Saccharomyces cerevisiae S288C: one gene and its partner. The gene in region 1 interacts genetically with each later gene. Each region holds a gene or a part of one and is shown in the gene's direction. Other genes may lie near its edges.

Region 1 (2,913 bases):
CTGAAGCTGGCGAATCTTTCACATTAAATCCCGGAGAAGATTTTCAAAATTGCTTTCCAAGACAGCGGATATTGTAGAACAATCTCAAGTGAAGTATTGGCAAGATATTGGTGCAATTATTTGAAAGGAAGGAGAAATATTCTGACAGTACCTTGCTAGCAAAGGGATTTACCAATCCACTGACGCTAAAATGGGGTAGTAAATTAGATAAATTGCATTCTAACGTGACTTTATATAGTGGGAAACAGATATGTAGCACACAAAACGGCATGATTATGCTTAATTGATTCCTATTTTTTAACGTAAATACTCTCCCAGAACGATCAGAAAACTTAACCCGCAACCATCTTTGCTGTGCTAACAACTTATGTCGCCTCAATACCATTTTTATTTTGTATCATTCCGGAACTTAGTATTGAATGAAAAATGCCTCCGAAGTAAAAAGCAGGTGATGAAAAGTTTCAATTGGTATAAGACAGATCGCTATTTTGATCCGCATAACATCCTTCAACACCATAGCAGAGCTATAGAGAAGACAAGATATAAACTGGGCATGCAAACATCTTCAGAAAGTACCGACGCCAAGTCGGATTTTCTCGACGAACCCAGTGCATATTTAATTGAGAAAAATGTGGCTCTTCCCAAGGACATATTCGGTTCGTACTTAAGTTATTGGATATATGAAGTTACTCGTCATAAAGCGGCAGTAATTTTGCTCGTACTTATTGTGACTTCAATTTTATTATTAGTGTTTTTTTATAATACGGAATTTTGCGTTGCCTTTGAGATACTATTGTTTTCCTTTTGCTTTCCAGGAACATGCATGGTTGTAATTGCATTTAGTGAACCGATCGGTGATCGGGAATTTAAAGTTAAGCTTCTGATGGAAATTATCACACGTAAACCGGCGGTAAAGGGGAAAGAATGGAGGACAATTACATACAAGATGAACCAGTATTTATTTGATCATGGGCTATGGGATACTCCCTACTACTTTTACCGTGATGAAGATTGCCACCGTTATTTTCTAAGTCTTATTAAGGGAAGAACTTTCAAGAAGCAAAAGGAATCGTCAGCCAGCAATGTTAAAGACGCACAATCAAATGACGAAACCGCTGGCACACCAAACGAAGCCGCTGAGTCTTCTAGTTTTAGTGCCGGACCGAACTTTATAAAGCTCCTCACCAAGGCAGCCGAAATCGAACAACAATTTCAAAAGGAATATTGGCGACAAGAGTATCCTGGTGTCGATGAGTTTTTTTAGACAGAAGACGGGAGACACTAGCACACAACTTTACCAGGCAAGGTATTTGACGCTAGCATGTGTCCAATTCAGTGTCATTTATGATTTTTTGTAGTAGGATATAAATATATACAGCGCTCCAAATAGTGCGGTTGCCCCAAAAACACCACGGAACCTCATCTGTTCTCGTACTTTGTTGTGACAAAGTAGCTCACTGCCTTATTATCACATTTTCATTATGCAACGCTTCGGAAAATACGATGTTGAAAATGCCTCTAGAGATGAAAAACAATCGTAAAAGGGTCCTGCGTAATTGAAACATTTGATCAGTATGCAGTGGCACAGAAACAACCAGGAATACTATAGTCATAGGCAATACAAGGTATATATTGGCTATGCAGACCCCTCCAGAAAGTACCGACGTCAAGTTAGATACACTTAACGAACCTAGTGCACATTTAATTGAGAAAAATGTGGCTCTTCCTAAGGACATATTCCGTTCGTACTTGAGTTATTGGATCTATGAAATCGCTCGCTATACACCAGTCATGATTTTGTCCCTGGTAATAGGGGTTTTGGTTTTATTAATTATATTTTTTAATGACAACGAAGCTTGTGTTTTCAATTCTGCAATATTTGCTTTTACTTCTCTTGTAGGTTTGTTAATAATATTAAGTGATGGTAATCCAAAGCTAGTCAGTCGTCGAAATTTTAGGACCGAGCTTTTAGTGGATGTCATCACACGTAAACCGGCGGTAGAAGGGAAAGAATGGAGGATCATCACATACAACATGAACCAATATTTGTTTAATCATGGGCAATGGCATACTCCGTATTACTTTTACAGCGATGAGGATTGCTACCGTTATTTTCTACGCCTTGTTGAGGGAGTAACCCCCAAGAAGCAAACAGCCACGTCAATTGGCAATTCTCCGGTCACCGCTAAGCCTGAAGATGCCATCGAGTCAGCTTCTCCTAGTTCCAGACTGAATTATCAAAACTTTTTGCTCAAGGCAGCGGAGATCGAACGACAAGCTCAGGAAAATTACTGGCGAAGGCGGCATCCCAATATCGATGCGCTTCTTAAAAAGACGGAATAGCTTAGAGACACTACCATACGTAAAGCGAACATAAACTAGAGTATGATATATAATCAGCACTAACTGGCCGGAAAACGGCCGAAGGAAGCCTCGAAAAGTCGATTCGTGTTGGACCCATTTGCTGAACAAAGTGGTTCATTGCCTACCTATTATGGTAGTAGTCGTGATAATCGTGTGGTTGGTTTTGTCAACGGTGCATTTGCATTTTCATGACAATAAACCTTGCGTTTTCGTTCTCGGGATATTACTTTCCCTCCACTTCTTTCGCCTCAATAGCTCCTATAAGCATTCTCAGGGCGTATGTCGGTGATCGAGATTTCCAAGCAAGCTTTTAGTGGAAATCATCGCGCGCAAGCCAGCGGTAAAGGGAAAAGAACGGAGGACGATTACATACAAGATGAACGAATAAATAAATTAATAATAAATAATAATAAAAAGTACAGTAGCATTAAATATTATTAAGTTTAATGATTAAAAATTGGTTAATTGTCAAGAAAATCTAAGGTATTAATAAATAAATAATACTATGACAACTTGCAGCGAAAGCATCAGCCCCAATGAAAATTAATC
Region 2 (3,762 bases), on another chromosome or scaffold:
GGAGCCTCCTGTTATCAAGAAAAGTAAAAAATGTGCAATTTTGTAGTCATATTAGTATATGCCCATCTTTTCTTAATCTATATCTAAAATTAACTTATATATACACCTTCCTATCCTTTTATTATCGTTGTATTTCATTTTTTCGCTTTGCTCAGAGTTGATTCTCTTTGTTTCTTGCGCCAGGATCATCCGTCTGTTCAAGGCGGAGTAGTGCAAAAAAGTCGAGCCGTCAAGCCCCAAACGTTCAATACTTCCATGTTCTTCAACGCTAAACGCGACATTTGCGAGTCCTACCACGTCTTCTCCGTTTACGGGCAAAAACACCTCTTAACATCAAAAATTTGGCTTTCGTGCTTTTTTCTGAAATATATTCGTTGCATAGACACGGTATGCATATGAAACATTCAGGCTAGCAATCAATACTTAAACCCTTTACGGGCGTGCATGATGTATCAGGAAACCAGTTTGAGAATGTCGCCCACCAAGCTCCATGGAAAGGCGCAAACCAATTACGCGGAACACAAAAATGGGCCTTTTTTTGATCGCCTCAAAGGCCGGACCAGGTTCGTTAAACGTCTGTAGAGGTGCCGAACAATTTTTGTCTAGAATAAATTTCCATTTTTCTGGCATTTAATTCTAGGCTTTCTGGTCTCTTTGTTCTTGCAGCTAGCCCATTGGGTGCTCTTCAAAATATGTCAATATCACCTTGATTTTGAAAATGCGCCCGTAAAATTGGACTTATGCTACAAATATATTCTACAGGAAAAGATCCGCAAGGTCTGCTTTAGCGTAAAAACGACCTCCCAGTATTTTATATAACCTCAGCCATTTCACTGAATGATACATAGTAGCATATATAGCTAGGCCTAAATGTATTTTTTTTTACAACTTTTTAGATCGCTGCGTGAAGGATGAAACTTCATATGAGTACGGACGTTTGAAAGGGTAGAGTGGCGCTAGCATAGAAATGCCATTTCTCGGAGGTGTCATCATTCGAAAAGAACTCAATTTTCAAGCGATTGAGATTCAAAGGCAAACCGATGCCTCCTCATTGGTCACATCTTCATGTAAACTGTGGCTGCTTTTTTTTCTAAATACTCTATGACTACAGCTTTCCTTTGTACAAACTCAAGTTTATTTAATCGTCTTTTTTAATGTTTATGTTCAACATACCCGAAACCACTACAAGACGGAAAATACTAGAGAAACATCAACAAATGAAAAAAAAAGGCTACAATCCTCGGATGAAACTGATAAAAACGAGCACAGTATATGCCGAGTCGTAGCATTTAACGTACTAACACTACTCGCCAAATCATAAGAGCTTCATGCTGACGTGTGTATCTATATCGCTTTTACAGATCCTGCAACCGACAGAGCCGAAAACGTAATTGGTGACTCGTTCCTCGTTCTTGTCGGAAAAATTTAAACGAGCGCGTTCGATAAACTCAACGAAGGCAAGTTTGAACAATAGATGTTGGTCGTAATCATTCGTTCTTCGACTTTTATAGCCTTTTTTTTAACTTAACGAACTCGTACTATCTAATAGTTTATTTCCCCTTGTTTTTTTTTGTTACGATTGGGGAAAAGCAAGGGTTCCCTGCGTCTACGATTACATCATCTACTAACTAGTCACCGAAATCGATTATCGTCGAAGGAGAAGCAACCAAGACCTCCACTTTTCAAAGGCACAAATAACATTTCGCCTTTACATAATATAGAGGAGTTAAGTCGACGGTTTTTTTCATTTAAGGTTTATATTTCGTTTATCCATAGATCTCCATCTAACATAACATGACATCCGATGATGGGAATGCTGGACAAGAAAGAGAGAAGGATGCTGAACTGATTGAGGTTGGGGGCAAGAAAGTGAGCAAGACTTCGACAGGGAAACGGAAGTTTCATAACAAGTCCAAGACCGGTTGCGACAATTGTAAAAGAAGAAGAGTAAAATGTGATGAAGGCAAACCATTTTGCAAGAAATGTACAAACATGAAATTGGACTGTGTTTACAGCCCTATTCAGCCAAGAAGAAGAAAAGATTCTTCGTCGTCAAAATTTGCATCAGCGGTCCACGATAGGGTAGGCAAGAAAAATCTGAGTGACAATGCCATCATGTTACAACAACAACAACAGCAACTTCATCATCAACAAGAACAGCAATTTCGTCAACAACAGCAAGTTCAGTTACAGCAGCAACTGTTGCCACATGTTGGTACTGATGAACAAAGCAATTCCCCTAATAGCGTTCCTCCATCCGTATCCAATAATATGGAGAATCTTTTGTTACCGCACCTATTAGCGAGTTTAGTGAATAACACCAGTAACAGTACCAACAGCAGTGCAAATGGAGCTGAAGCGCATAATAATATAACACAAACAGCTCCCAGTTCAATGATAAACAACAACCACCCAAACATGGCCCTACCAGGGAATTCGCCATTGAGTATACCGATAACACCTAGTTTTCAATCAACGGCCATGAATTTATCAAGTAGCCTTAACGGCTTACTCTCGCCTGGTAGGCTAAATTCGGTGACGAATGGATTGCAGCAGCCACAACTTCAACAACAAAATCAGCAAATTCCACAACAACAAGGAACACAGTCCCCCTTCAGCAATATTCCCTTCGACCAGCTAGCGCAATTGAACAAGATGGGCTTGAACTTCAATATGAAGAGCTTCAATACATTATTTCCATACGGTGCTGCAAATGGAATGGCCTCTGAGTTTCAAGAGTTATTTGGCCTCGGAAAGTTTGCTACATCTAATAACAGAGCAATCAAAGTTAGCACAGCAGAGGAGGCACTCGCAAATATGCAACAGGAACAGGAGGACAAAAACAAGCAATTTACGAAGAACCCATTGGATAATACTAAGACGGATGCTGTTAATTCGGGCAATAACCCCCTTAACGGAAACGAAAATAAAGTTACTGCTTCTGATATACTATCTCATAACAAAAACTTGATAATCGACAATACCGGTCTCACAATCAGTCCCCCACACACGTTGTCCAAACCTTCCATAGATCAAAACATTGCGTCCCCTTCAACGGGAGTATCCAATGTAACCTCTACAAAGTCATTGTTATCTATACCGGACAACAGGACCGCTTTGGGAAATTCTCCTACTTTGAAGACGTCCCCAATGGGTGACCTGTTATCCAACTCGGAGGCATTGTCTCCACGTTCATCAAATTCTCACACTCAACAACAATCTTCTCCCCATTCAAACGCTTCATCAGCCTCACGACTAGTCCCTGAATTAGTCGGGCTGTCTAGAAAATCAAATTTGAATTTGATAGATCTAAAACTTTTTCATCACTATTGTACTGACGTATGGCATACCATAACCGAAGCAGGCATTTCTGGTCCTGAAGTATGGAGCACTTATATTCCGGATTTGGCTTTTCATTTTCCCTTCTTGATGCATACAATTTTGGCTTTTAGCGCCACTCATTTGTCCAGAACTGAAGCCGGCTTGGATAACTACGTGTCTAGTCATCGTTTAGAAGCGTTGAGACTGTTAAGAGAGGCTGTGCTCGAAATTTCAGATGATAACACAGATGCTTTGGTGGCTAGTGCTCTAATATTAATCCTAGATTCATTGGCAAATGCTTCAAGCAGCTCACCAACGGCATGGATTTTCCATGTTAAAGGCGCCGTAACTATACTAACTGCTGTATGGCCCCTGTCGGAGACATCCAAGTTTTATAACTTAATTTCTGTTGACTTGAGTGATTTGGGTGAAGCTGTAATC

What was found.
Region 2: mutations in MST28 (region 1) and ECM22 together harm fitness more than expected from each alone (negative genetic interaction), as found in Saccharomyces cerevisiae (one large-scale study listed by BioGRID).

Annotation. Positions count from the first base shown.
Region 1 is NC_001133.9:186,469-189,381, forward strand, and holds MST28 (DUP240 family protein MST28), read left to right. Parts: upstream 1-1,638; coding exon 1,639-2,343; downstream 2,344-2,913. Other genes in the region: DFP2 (DUP240 family protein), read left to right, coding at 1-77; pheromone-regulated DUP240 family protein PRM9, read left to right, coding at 368-1,264. UniProt on the Saccharomyces cerevisiae protein: Involved in protein trafficking vesicle formation, probably by stabilizing of coatomer at the Golgi membrane and thus allowing the efficient formation of COPI coated vesicles.
Region 2 is NC_001144.5:600,496-604,257, reverse strand, and holds the start of ECM22 (Ecm22p), read left to right. Parts: upstream 1-1,794; coding exon 1,795-3,762. Other genes in the region: Rho family GTPase CDC42, read left to right, coding at 1-46.